Linked DNA regions of Ovis aries. The protein of the gene in region 1 interacts with the protein of each later gene in a biochemical or structural test. Links are inferred from orthologs where the notes say so. Each region holds a gene or a part of one and is shown on either strand. Other genes may lie near its edges.

What was found.
Region 2: the proteins of CLTB (region 1) and HIP1R form a complex in vitro, tested with the Homo sapiens proteins (2 studies listed by BioGRID). The link is inferred for Ovis aries from reciprocal best matches to the Homo sapiens genes CLTB and HIP1R.
Region 3: the proteins of CLTB (region 1) and HIP1 form a complex in vitro, tested with the Homo sapiens proteins (2 studies listed by BioGRID, with this or other methods). The link is inferred for Ovis aries from reciprocal best matches to the Homo sapiens genes CLTB and HIP1.

What each region holds. Positions count from the first base shown.
Region 1 is NC_056058.1:35,582,878-35,587,111, reverse strand, and holds part of CLTB (clathrin light chain B), read left to right. Parts: intron 1-3,834; coding exon 3,835-3,952; intron 3,953-4,182; coding exon 4,183-4,234. UniProt on the Homo sapiens protein: Clathrin is the major protein of the polyhedral coat of coated pits and vesicles.
Region 2 is NC_056070.1:52,726,591-52,731,439, forward strand, and holds the start of HIP1R (huntingtin-interacting protein 1-related protein), read right to left. Parts: upstream 3,364-4,849; 5' UTR 3,323-3,363; coding exon 3,230-3,322; intron 1-3,229. UniProt on the Homo sapiens protein: Component of clathrin-coated pits and vesicles, that may link the endocytic machinery to the actin cytoskeleton. Binds 3-phosphoinositides (via ENTH domain).
Region 3 is NC_056077.1:34,460,471-34,465,299, forward strand, and holds the start of HIP1 (huntingtin-interacting protein 1), read right to left. Parts: upstream 3,364-4,829; 5' UTR 3,343-3,363; coding exon 3,223-3,342; intron 2,648-3,222; exon of another isoform or gene 1-2,647. UniProt on the Homo sapiens protein: Plays a role in clathrin-mediated endocytosis and trafficking. Involved in regulating AMPA receptor trafficking in the central nervous system in an NMDA-dependent manner. Regulates presynaptic nerve terminal activity.

The sequences.
Region 1 (4,234 bases):
TGGATGGAGTCAGACAATCTGGGCTTCATTTCTGTTTTTTCCTAGCTGGACGACCTTGGACTAGTCGCTGCTTTGAGCTGGATTTGTCATTTGTAAAATGGGGATGAGAAGCCCTCCCTTGCTGTCCCCACAGGTCTGTTGAGAAGAGTCCTCTGTAGCCTTAGAAGCTTCTTATCCCTGAGCTAGCCACTAAGTGAGCCAAGAGGGTATGAAGGCAAGTGTGAGAGAGACAGGGAGTGGCCCTTGGGAGTGGGAGGACAGGGCACGGTGTCTAATCTTGGGATGCTAGACGTGTTAGGGAGGAAAAAATCACGTGGCACAGAAGTGACTTTGGCCCCTGTTGGCTATGTGTTACACCCAGGAATTCAGTTTGAATTCTGGCTCTGCCAGTTGCTGGCTGGGTGACCTTGGGACTTTGAAGCTAGACTTTTTCCTACCTGTAAAACAAAGATAATAAAACCCACCATGAAGGTTTGTGAAGGCCAAAGAGAACCATTTAACTGAAGGTTCTTTGCAAGTTTTTAAGCACTCTAACCTGTGAGTCTTAATTTTAGGGCAGTCTTGAAGGAGATGGTGGGGCTTCCCAGGTGTCTCAGTGGTGAAGAACCTGCCTGCCAATGCAGGAGACACAGAAGATGCTGGTTCAACCCCTGGGTTGGGAAGATCCCCTGGAGTAGGAAATGGCAACCCACTTGAGTATTCTTGCCTGGAAAATTCCATGGATAGAGGAGCCTGTCAGGCTACCGTCCATGGGGTTGCAAAGAGTCTGCCACGACTGAGCACGCACACACTTCTAGAGGAGATGGTGAGTCCTGAAGGACACCATGGAATGCCTTCTGACCCTCCAGCCCACCTCTCTCAACCCATCCCATCCACACGTGGCAGCATGTCTGCACTCACATTTTCCCAAAGGCACCAGCCTCACGTGGTCCTTACGCTGCCAATTCTTGGTCTGAAATGCCCTTCCCCTGTCTCTTCCCAGCCTACTCTGCTCCTAGGCTAGAAAGGTCATGCCCTCCCTTGTCCCCCCTCTTTTCATGACCCATGTTATGCACGTACCCCAAGTCATGGTCTTCATTTGTGAGAAACTCCCTCTGCCAAGCTCCTGGATGATGGGCCAACTTGTTCATCTCTGTTCCCAAGCATGAACGTATGTTAATTCATTCAAGAGATGTTCTTGAGCTCCTCTTACAGCCAGGCCCTCCTTGTCCTAGGTTCTGTACAGAGATAGTCTCTGTCTGCATGGAACTCATTTACTGGGGAGGGGTGGGGGGCAGATAGTAATGAAAGTCGGAAAGTTAGTTGCTTAGTCATGTTCAACTCTTTGCAACCCAAGGACTATAGCTCACCAGGTTCCTCTGTCCATGGGATTTCCCAGGCAAGAAATACTGGAGTGGGTCACCATTCCCTTCTCAAGGGGATCTTCCTGACCCAGAGATCAAACCCAGGTTTCCTGCATTGCAGGCAGATAGATTCTTTACTGTCTGAGCCACTAAGGAAGCCAGTCTTTTAAGATATCATGAGTACCAAGAAGAAATAAAATGTAGCACCTGGATAAACACATAGACACCAAAGTAACTGCACTTGTCTTCAGATGGGACATTCTATAGGATTGGGTAGAGGTCCTGGTAGCCTGGCCTCAGGACAGGGTTTTTCCCAGAACTGGACAGGGTGGGGCTCACCCTACATTGGTGATCAACTTGTGTTGTCGAGATTAGGGCCCTGGAAAGGCCCCTTGAGATGTCATGAGAGACTCTCTGAATTGAAATATAATGTTGGGCAGGAAGGAGGAATAAGGGCAGTGCCCCAGCTGCCCCACCCAAGGGTGGGTCTGATCCAAGGAGCCAGGCAGCACTGCCCCGCCCTCGGCCTGCCCTTCTCTCTCCCCAGGGAGATGCAGCTCTTACGTCCATCTGCGTGCTCCTTCACCTTGCTGCCCACAGCCCCCTGGACAGACACCCAGCACTTCCTCTGAACTGGCACATGCTGGTCCCAGGGGGGATCTTCATCCACATGGCCACTGCTTGTTAAGCACCAGCTGTGTGGGCACCACTGGACAGACGCTGTTGGGTGGGGAGAAAACATTAACCAACACTGGGATTCATGACAGTTTGATGAGTGCTCGAGCAACAGAGCAGTGAAAGGAGGGACAGGTTCATAGGGCTGTAAACAAGGTTCTGCCCTGCTGACAGGGATCTTGCAGTCCAGCCAGGAGACACACTTGGTAGAAGAGAGGAAGGGCTGTGAGATCTGCTTGAGGGTTGAGGGTTTGGAAATAGCCCAGAGCTGGTGACTTCTGAGCTAGTAACTCGTGGGATGGAACATTTCATCAGCTGGAGGAAGGAGGGGAGACAATTGCAGGCCGAAAGCAAGAGACAAAGGCGGGACAGAGTGGATGTGGGATGGGTGGAGACAGGAATGCACCGGCCGACAGAGCGCCGGAGTGGGAGTGCCGAGAGACGGGCTGGGTTGTAAAAAAGCTCTGGCTCTTCGAGAACAGAGGGACGCCCAGCCTGTCTGGGCTGAGCTCTCAGCCTGCCATGCTTGGAGTCCCCTACCCTGGCAGGCAGCCTGGAGAGCTGGGCAGAGCCCGGCCTGGAAGTCAGAGGAGGCCTGGACTCCGGCCCAGGTTCAGCCACTACACTGTGCCCTCTCTCCTGGCCCCAGTTCCTGTCCCCTATAAGATGACAATGAATAATAATAATAATTCTAGCTATCATTTACTGAGCCATCACTCCCTGCCGGGCACTCTTGTAAATTTCTTACAAGTACTGTTGCATCAAATCCTCACCCCGACTCTTAGAGGCAGTTTTAGTATCATCTTCATTTCAGATGAGAAAACTGAGGTCAGGCAAGGTTGAGTGACACACATGGAGCAGGCAGTGGAGATGGGATCTGACCCCAGATTGTCTGGCCCCCAAGTCTGAGCTTCCCATCACTGCACGACCTTAGCTAAGCCCACCTTGCCTATCTCAGGACTGTTCACTGCTCTGTGCCAGGCACTGTGCTGGGTGCTGGGGACACAGCAGGGAACAGGGCAGGCCAATCCCTGCTGTCACAAATGTGACGTTCTGATAGAGGAGACAGACAATGGACAAGTAAATGTATTATAAAGTGAGGCCATCTGGGGCTGTGTGTTATTGGGTGAATAAAACTAACAGTGCTCAGTCGTGTCCAACTCTTTGCGACACCATGGACTATAGCCTGGCAGGCTCCTCTGTCCATGGGATTCTCCGGGCAAGAATACTGGAGTGGGTTGCCATTTCCTCCTTCAGGGGCTCTTTCCCACCTAGGGATCCAACCTGACTCTCCTGTGGCTCCTGCATTGGCAGATTCTTTACACCCAAGCCGTGTGGGAAGCCCGCAACTAACAGAGTGGAACTTTAATGATAGAAACACAGGGAACCCTCTGTGTGCCAAGAAGCATTTGAAGTTCGACACTTTTAAAACTCATTCCATCTTCATATTAACCCTATGGAGTGGGTGCCATTTTGTAGCCTGTTTTATGATGAGGAAAGTCAGACACAGAGAGGTTGAGTAACTTGCCCGGGGTCACAGAGGGGGAAGGGTGGTTAGTGGAGGGCACAGCAAGTGCAAAGGCAGGGTACAGTCACAGGAGACAGTGGGTATGACATGGTTTGAGACGTGAGGGGTTTAAATAAAACCGATGTGTAGGGTTTTATTGCTTTATAGAAATGACAACACTTTGACCCAGAAGTGGCTAAAGAATAAAGAGAAATTAGTGGCCTCTGTAACTGGAAAGGAGTAGTCAAGGAGCTGAGACAGAAGGGCCGGTGGACAGGCTGGGTGCACTGCTGTCTGTCTATGTCCTAGGAGGCCAACGGTCCCGCAGACGGCTATGCTGCGATCGCCCAGGCGGACAGGCTGACACAGGAACCCGAGAGCATCCGCAAGTGGAGAGAGGAGCAGCGGAAACGGCTGCAGGAGCTGGGTGAGGACAGGGCTGAGGCTGTGAGCCGGGCTGGGCCCCCTGTGTCAGGGCTTCCCGCTGCGGTGGTGGTTTGGGACCATCACCGTGTCGGGTGGGAAGCCTTAGAGTACCTGGGGCTTCTTAGTGTGGGAACTGGCTGAGGACGGGGCTGAGGGGAGAAGCCCCTAGGGCCGCTGTGCCTCCCCTTCCTCCTGGAAAGCTGCTGCTTATTCACTTGTTGGGGGTTGCAGATGCTGCCTCCAAAGTGATGGAGCAGGAATGGCGGGAGAAGGCCAAGAAGGA
Region 2 (4,849 bases), on another chromosome or scaffold:
CTTCTAGAGGACACTCACACTCCTTCAGCTTTAAAGCCAGCAATGTCCCATGGCGTCCCCCTCACCACACATCACCCTGACCTCCCTGTGACCTCTTCCACATTTAAAGGTCCTGTAATTACACTGGGACCACCTGGCTAACCCAGGCCATGCCCCCTATTATTAAGGTCCTCTGATTAGCATTTTCTTACCCAGGACTGCTAAGATATTCACAGGTTCCAGGAATTAGGACATGGACATCTTTGGTGTGGGGCGGGGAGGGGGCCTCTTTAGCCCACCCCATCGTTTCTAGACCTTGAAACAGCCCAAGGAAGTAGATGGAATTATCTCTATTTTCACAGACCAGGAAACAGGAGTTAAGCACCTTGCCCAGGGACACAGGTGCACTGACTTTCGGTGATATTGCACCGCCTTTGAAACAATACAGGTGATTTTCATGTTCAGAACACGGGGATGCTGTATTCCACAGTATTCTGCATTCAGAATACTACAACAACAAAACGCCAATACAGTTTTGTCACTTCCATTTTAAAAAGGGGCTTTATCACCAAAGGGACCATAAAGTCTTGGGGAACAATAGACCAGCTTTCTGCACGGCGCCCTGGGGATTAATATACAGGCACTCACACACTGACATCACATAACAACCACGAGTACCCGCAACGTGAAGGATGCAGGACTGCCCTCCCTCCACTTTCCTGACCTGGGCGGGGTTAGAAACCCTTTTGCAAAACAGGGTGTGGTCAGTCACATTTTTCCTCTTCTTGACCCATAAGCCCAGGAGGAATAGCGAGGCTGGCAGGACAGTGGGGACATGTGTTCTAAGGAAGCCAAAATGCCCCTCTGCTCTACAGGGTACTGTGGTCAACGAGGAGACCCGGACAGTGCATTCTGAAGGCAAGGAGTGTCCGAGGGCTGGATGCACTATTTTCTGTTCAGAAGGAGACCTGTAAGCAGCAGCTTCGGCTCTCTGTGTCCTTTCCTCCAATGGGGCCTGGCTAGCAGCTCACTAGATATTTCTGGGAGCGATCTAATTAAATATTAACCGTGCACAAAACCTTATTCCTGCATCTCTCAGTAACTCATTCTGAAGACAAATCTAGACAGTGAACCTGAACTTCATCTTTCTAGAAAAAAAAAAAAAGAGCCCTGGAATGGGTAAAGCCTATGAGATTCACCTATTAGAAAGAATTATTCATGATAAGTAACCCTCTCGGCCTCTGAGAAAAAACCAAGCAGCAAGAACAAAACACCCTCTTGTTTACCAAACCAACCATCAAAATATACGGTGCTGTATCAGGGATTCTCTTTGACATTCGGGAAGCTTGCCCTTGATTTATCACAATTTAAGAGTAAGATCAATGAACTCAGCCCTTTAATTTCATCTCCTCTATGTAGCAATCCGGCCTCTCTATACCTTCTCAAAAGCGTGAAAGAAACTAAAAATCAGAGAATGAATAACATCTGACAACATCCAGATTCTCTCTGCCAATTAAATTTTTCTCCCCATCCTTCTGAAAGTTCCTGGCACAGTTAATTATGCATTAATGACTTTAAATTAAATGCCACATTTGTTTTTATGATGGACTATCTGGGCTGAAAATATACCAGGGGCTGGATGGTGATGATCACAAGGATAAATTAATAATTTGTGGCTAGGTTGGTTCAGCACTAGGCTTTCCTAGAGCCAAGGTTTTATTATCATTTTCCTGGTTAATCTCAAGCACAAAGGTTAGCTGTTTCCTCTGCATTTCCTCTTACTTCAAAGCGAAAGTTGTCGTAGGCTGCATGTACTAACTTGATCTGAAAGACACCTCAGAAGTTGTTGCTCCTATAGGGAGAGACTGAGAGAACCTTACTAATAATGGCAGACACAAATGTCACCACCTGGCTTCAGACAGGGGTCAGTTCGGTCCTTTTAGCTCCTTTCTTTTTCTGGCCTACTCTTGGAGGATCTTAGTCCTCCAACCAGGGATGGAACCCCTGCCCCCTGCCTGCGGGGCACAGTCTTAACCACTGGACCGCCAGGCAAGTCCACCGCTGATTTCTAAAGAAAAGCTTTCTGTTGTGTCAGTCCTGGTTGACTTACTTTAGCGAATAAACAAGTAAGCTCCTCTCACCCCCACCCAGGCAGAACACCACCTCAGTGTTTGCAAAATAAAAAGGAACAGAAAACCAGAAACACCAACGCCCTCATCAGTGTGGTCTCAGCAGGAACACACGGACAAATACACACCCCCTGTCATTGTTTCATTTTTAAAATAACCTTCCCAGGACAGGCCACCCTGAGGAAGAGATGCCTGAGCGTGGGAAGTGCAGGAAGGGAACCCTAGGAAGTTTCTGTCAGGCGCCGGCATTTAATAAGGGGGTGTGAACCTGTTTATATGTGGGCCAATGGCTCGAGCAAACAAGTCTGGCTACATACGTGAAACTTTTCACCCAGCAGATAATAAGATATTGTGAGGCCCTGGAAAACAACTCAGGAGGAAAGGAAGCACTGAGTTTCCTTGAAGGAAATGCATTGCTTCTCCGAAGAGAGGGCATTCTTTTAAGGCGTGGAAAAAGGTGGCCGGAGCCCGGGAGGGGGCGGCGCTGCGCGGCCAGGGTGGATAAGTCCACTCGGGCCAACCCGGGCTGGACGCACCCGGGCCCGAAACGTACCTTGACCTACCTGGCCCACCGCGGCGTCTCGGCCCCCTCCAGCTGGATCCCTTTCCACCACCTCGGCTCCCGACCACCTCGGTCCCCGGCCGCCTCAGTCCCTGGACACTTTGGTGCCCTGGCCATCTGAGGTCTCCAGCCACCTCTCGGTCCCTGGGCACCCGAGGTCCCCGGCCGCCTCTCGGTCCCTGGACACCGCTGTCCCCTGGCCATCTCGGCCCCCGACCGCATCTCAGTCCCTGAACACCTGGCCGGTTCCCGGGCCACCTGGGCCCCTCAGTTGCATCTCAGTCCCCGGCGGCATCTCAGTCCCGGCCACCCCAGCCCCCCGCGCCGCCTCCGGCCCGGGCGCCGGCGCGCGCTTCCGGTTCACCTGCGCCCGGGCCGGCGGAGGCCGGGGAGCAGGGGTGGCCGTGACCGAGATGCAGCCAAGGGAACCCAGGCGGCCGGGAGCGAGGGGCCTGGGGCGCCAAGGGGACGGGCGCAGGCCGGGCTCCAGGGACGTGTGTGAGGGGAAGGGGAGAAGGCGCCGTCCGCCAGCCCGCCCGCCCGCAGCCCCGCCGCTCGCCTGGGTCTTGTCGAACTGCTCGCGCTCGGCCTCCAGGCTGTGGCCAGGCCTGCGGTTCAGCACCCGCGCAGGCACGTTCTTGATGCTGTTCATCCTGCCGCCGCCTGCGATCCCTGGCGGGGCTCCGCGCGACTGAGCGACCCAGGCCGGCCGCCCAAGCCTAGGCACCGCGAGGCCGCCCGCCGCACGGCAACGCCCGCCCTTTGGGGGAGGAGCTTTACTATCGCCCCGCCCCCGGCCCGCCCCCGGCCCGGCCCTGGTGGGGTGGCTGGCACAGGCTGCGGCCAGGGGGGCCCCCAGCCCCTCCACGCCTCACGTGTGCGAGCGGAAACACCCGTCTCTCCTCCGTCTGCACACACAGACTCCGCCCCGACTCACTGAGCCCTGTCCGCACCAGGCCAAGATCTGGTTAACTGGAGAAAACCTGGCCTCAATGAAACTTGACCAAGGGGAGCACATCTAGACACTTTTTCTTTCATTTTAAACAGGCCTCTATTACTTTTACGTGTCAGTTCAGTTCAGTCGCTCAGTCGTCTCCGACTCTGCGACCTCATGGACTGCAGCACGCCAGGCCACCCTGTCCTTCACCAACTCCCGGAGTTTACTCAAACTCATGTCCATTATGTCGGTGATGCCATCCAACCACCTCATCCTCTGTCATCTCCTTCTCCTCCCACCCTCAATCTTTCCCAGCATCGGGGTCTTTTCAAATGAGTCAGCTCTTAGCATCAGGTGCACAAATTACCGGAGTTTCAGTTTCAGCATCAGTCCTTTCAGTGAATACTCAGGACTGATTTCCTTCAGGATGGACTGGTTGGATCTCCTTGCAGTCCAGGGGACTCTCTTTGTGTGTCAAAGACATAAAATTGGGCTGTCCACTCTGTGCATCTCTAATGTAACTGCATGTGTGCACGCTCTGTCCTGTCCGACTCTGCAGGACCCTATGGACTGAGGCCCATTAGGCTCCTTTCTCCATAGGATTCTCCAGGCAAGAATACTGGAGTGGGTTGCCATGCCCTGTTCCGGGGGATCTTCCAGACCCAGGGATCGAACCGCTGTGTCTTACTTCTCCTGCATTGGCAGGAGTGTTCTTTATCACTAGCGCCAGCTGGGAAGCCCAAGTGTAACGTAACTGCAGCTGTAATCAACGCGGGACTGTGGGATGACTTTTCAGAGACCCTCCTAGAGCTGAGAACCTGACCGAGAGAGGCAGGGCTGGGACAGCCTGGAGACAGCTCTGGACCAACCCAGAGCTGGGCCGTCAGACAGCATGCAGCAGATGCCACAGGAGGTGATGTGAGCCTTTTTTTTTTCTTTTCTTTTTAAATATTATTACTGGTTTGCTTCTAAAATTACCAGTCACAAAATTAAAGTTTTTTTTTTTTCTTTTTAAATCACAGGTAGCTCTCAAATGGTTATTTTGTTTCTGCTGGCCTCAGCTTTCCTCTCAGAGTATAGGTGTGAAATCACCCAAAACTAAGGACACTCCTTGAAGTGGGAAGGTGACACCTACATAACCCTGAATGTTGTTTGCTGGACCCCTTCTGTAACCTCACTGGTTCCTCACTGTCTAGTCCCGGAGCTGACACTGGGAACTTGAAAGATGTATTTAACAAGGCT
Region 3 (4,829 bases), on another chromosome or scaffold:
CTGAGTTCCCCATCCACGCCAGGCATCCCGGCCGGGGCCAACTCGTCACTTTGGACCCAAGACTACAGTCACTTCACCACTAACACCAGCCCTAGGCACATGAGGACAGAAGTTCGAGTGAGACACCGTCCCACCCTCAGGAAGTTCACGGGGTGCTGGGGGTCACAGGGAAGCGGGGACAGGACAGGGAGCAGGTGCAAGGCGTTTGGAGGTGGGAGGAGCCTATTCTGCTCTGTCCACCTTAACTGATGAATCTCATTTACACCCGCCTCCAGACCATACCTTTTCTCCTGGAATGCCCCATCCCTCCTCTCTCCCCAGCAAGTGCTGGCTCAGGCTGAAGGATGGGGTTCAGACCTCGCAGGGCTCCCACCCGCTTCGCACCCTAACAGCCTGGACTTTAAGCAATCACTCCTGGTAATCACTGCATTAACCAGGAACACTTCTGTCCCTCTACTGAACAGTTCATCACAGCCTGCCCCAGTACTTGGCCTTTTTTCTGGTCCCCTCTCCTCCTCAGATTATAGCAATCATCATCGCCACAGTGCTCTCCAGTTTACAAAATGCCTCCAGGTATATTATTTAATCTAGTCTCCCATAATCAACCTGTGAGGTAAGTAGTATCCTTATTTTGCAATAAGGAACCCAAGGCTAAGAAAAGCTGGAAAACTTGCCTGGGACCACAGCCCCTCCATGTGCCTGGCTATCAAATTTCAGCCTCTTCCAGTTCCCATACCAGTGCTCGGCCCAGTACTCAGAAGCCACACAGAGCTGTGGTTAAAGGTTGGGATCACAACATGCTGTCTGACCTTGGGCAAGTTACTTAACTTCTCTGTGCCTCAATTTCCTCCAGATAAAATGTGGTTGATACTCACCTCATAGGTCCTTGTCAATATCACCTCACAGTACTTTACTGAAATTAAAGAAGGTGATACAATAAAGTACTCAGAAAAGTGCCAAACATAATTAGTTACAATCATCCGCCCACCTTCACTGATTCCATGGTCTCTTAACTCATTAAATTTTTTTTATAACTCATGTTCATATGGCTCAGACTGTAAAGAATCTGCCTGCAATGAGGGAGACCAGGGTTCGATCCCTGGGTTGGGAAGATCTCCTGGAGAAGTGAATGGCTGCCCATTCCAGTATTCTTGCCTGGAGAATTCTGTGGACAGAGGAGCCTGGCAGGCTGCAGTCCATGGGGTAGCAAAGATTCAGACACGACTGAGTGACTAACACACACATACATTGGGTAAGTAGTCATTAAACAATACACATTTTTGCAGATTGACTAAGGTGAGGTTTTTAGAATTGTTCTCTTTCCTTTTCTTCACTCTCTTATTGCCCTAATAGTTTCAACAACACAGAAACTCTTTTCCTGATTCATTCTACCTCCCTTACACACACACACACACACACACACACACACACACACACACACACACACGCCACTAGCTCAAATCTGGCCAATTATCAGTGCCCCACAGAATGTAAGATACTGCCTAACACTGACCTAGACTCTCCTTGTTGGGACGTCCCTGGATAGCTAGAGAAACTTTCACAAACCTAATTTCCATCACTATAATGGGTCAAACTCTTATGTGTATTTCTCTATTGCTCCAGTTTTTACTGGAGACTCTAAAAGGAATGAATTACCATTTATTTTCCTTGTCCATTACAAGAAAGATTTACACTGTTTCCTGGAGCAAGAAGCCTTGTGTGCCCAGGCAGCTAGACGAGGGCATAATGCCCATAGCAGACAAGCATCTTCCTTCCTTTCTGGGGTCCAATCCACAGAATTAGAAAATAAAGCTTAAACCCAGCCAGACCCTGGGAGAGAGAAGTAAAGAGCCTTCTCTCCCATCCCGTGTGGGGTAGAATGATGACCTAGGGAGGGGACACTGCCTACTTTACACCACCTGGACACACCTGTGAAGGGCCAGAGGTGCCTGGAAAAAGAAGAGGAATTAGTCTCCTGGGTTTTCATGAAAAGTTTCCTTCTTTGCAAGATTCCCTACATGGAACACTCGATCAGGACCTCACAATCTTTATCTAAAACCCCACTGCCCTTCCTTCACATGGTACTAAGTTTGGGGAGGGCGGTGGGGAGCAGAACAGAACGGGAGAACCAGCTTCTGGCAGCGGAAGCCCCCTGGCTCTTCAAAGGTTTCACTCCGAGAGCAAGAGTGAGCGCGAGTGAGGAACAAACTTGCCCATACAACTTCAGCAGTGGGATTAAAAGAAGTGCTGTGCCCTTCGAAATGGATTTTGCATACAAACCAGCCGATGAACACCATAAACATGTCAGCTTTATTCAGTCCAATCAATACACCAGGCATTAAAACTCTGAGGTAAAAATGGATTGTGGCTTTTTGTTGATGACAGTGAGGAATTTTGGCCCCTAGCCCTGCTCAGGCTGGACAATTTAGGGCAGGCTGCCTATTAGCTGTCAGGCACATTTAGGGGGATGAAATCAAAACCCCGATTCAGGGTTCTGGGCACCCCAGAACAACCCAACTTGACCCGAATCGGGGCCACTGGTCCAGGACCCTCAATATCTGTCCTTGGGCCGGCCCCCTCCTCCAGCCCCCGGTCATCTTCCAAACTCGGCCACACACCGCATTTCCTACATTCCTTCCTCCGGGCTCAGACCCCTTCAGTCCGGTCCTCCGAGGCCGACAGCTGGGGGCTGGCGTGAGCCAAGCTAGAGGCACAAGGAAGGGGATGCTAGGGACGGGGGGAATGTCAACGCAGTCCTGAAGTGATCGAGCGGAGAGTACAGGGCGCCCCAGCCCTCACATTCCCGACTCAGCGCCCCACTCTCTGCAGCCACACTTGCGACCCCCAGCGCCACCCCCCCCCCGCCAGGGACCTTCCCCAGCTAGGGGCACCCCTTCCATTCGGCCCCCTTTTCGCGTTCCTTCCCCTCTCACCGCCCCCGTGACCCCTGCCCTGCCCCGCCGGGACCGGCTCCAGTCGGTCGCACCGCGCGGACCGTGCCAGCTGCTCAGAGCCGCCCTGCCCTCTCCCCCAGGCCAGCCGGGATGGCCCCGGGGTCCCCGACCTTCCCAGACCGCCTTGACCACCGCACCAGATGCCCCCTTGCTCAGTCCTTCCCTGGGCCTGCAAGATCCCTACTCCCTTCGAGTCCCCTCCAGGACACTGCGGGATGCCCCAGCCGTGCACGACCGGGGGTGTCCCCCACCCCGCCCCGGTCCTCACCTGAGTCCGCTCAAAGCTCTCCCGCTCCGCAGCCTCCATCCCCGCGCCAACCCCACGCCGGCTCAGCACCTTCGGCAGGGGGTTGGGGACCTGCTTCATGGAGCTGGCCATCCGGTCCATGTCGCCGCGCGGAGCCGAGTCAGGGGCCCTCAGCCGCCCCGGGATCCCCACGGCGCCGCCCGCCCCTCCCTATCCACTGGGATCCGGCGCTAACGGGAAGGCGCCCGCCTCCCATTGGCTGAGAGCGCTGCTACTCTGCCGAGGCCCCGCCCCAGCCCAGAGGCTTCCCCGTCCGCCCCCGCCCTCTCCAGAGCCCCCGCCCCGGCCCTACCCTGCAGGGCGCTCCGGACCGTCAGGCGCGCCGGGACGGGCCCGGAGGCCTGTCGGTCACCGGCCTCCACCGCCCCTGGCGGGGGCGGGCCTGACCTGCCCTAGCCCGCCCCTTCCCCGACGCCCAGAGCGCGGCTCTCCCAGCCGCTGGCTGCACCCGCGAGCTCCCAGCGAGCCGCACTCTCCCAGTCCCCCCACCCCACCCCGGGCGCCGCGAGGTCCCGGCTTGGTTGGTGGGCGGGGGTCAAGCTGGCGGTGAGTTGGGCCTGCCGCAGGGAATCCGGGCCCGCGTGGGACTGGCCTGTTAACTCTTTTCGGGCCGGAGACAAGAGCGCGCGCGATGGACCAGCTCGGCGGCCCCTGTCCCAGGATGCGCTTGCCCTGAGGCCGGGCCTCCGCAGGTTGGTTCAGCGGGTCGCAGACCTGGCCGGCGTGGGTAGCGGCTCCCACCGCCTTCTCCCTCGTCCTGCCCCTGCCCCGAATCCCTGCCCATCCCTTTTGTAATGTTCGCAGACCAGGGAGCGCTGGGCTGGGTCAGTGGAAACTTCTCGACACCTTTACAAACCTCTCACCCTCTGGATCTGGTCAGGATGTATTCGTTGGTAGAAACCCATGTGGACATTTTAATATTTATCCCCGGCTCTGGGACACCCCTCCCATCCTGCTCCGTCGTCAGCCAAGGTACTGACGACAGGCGTAGGGGGGATGGAAGGGGGTGGAAGTAAGATCCTTAGCCGAGATGCTGAAGAAAGTTAAAAGTTTTCTGTTCAAATGCCAATTTTGATGTTTTAAAAATAAATGCTTTTTGCAACTCAAAGTAAAGAAAGGCGTTACTTTTTTTTTTTTTTTTTTGACTAAGAGCTTTTGATAAAAATTCACACATTCAATAGAGAAGCAGAAGAGGGGGTGGGCCTATGTAGGCACTGGGGAGCCTCTGACGGCTTTGCCAGCTGGCATCGTGTGGATGGGATTCTGGGGGCGACGGGAAGGAAGGGAACCAATGGGGAGACTCCGGCAGTAGGTGAGAGCCCACGAGGGCCTCCACTAGCAAGCCAGGAGAGAGTTCAATCCTGTGGGAGGTTCTGTGAATCAGTCAGTTCAGTCGCTCAGTCGGGTGGGACTCTTTGAAACTCCATGGACTGCAGCAGGCAAGGCGTCCCTGTCTGTCACCAACTCCCAGAGCTTAGTCAAACTCAGGTCCATCGAGTTGGTGATGCCATCCAACCATCTCATTCTCTGTCGTCCCCTTCTCCTCCTGCCTTCAGTCTTTTCCAGCA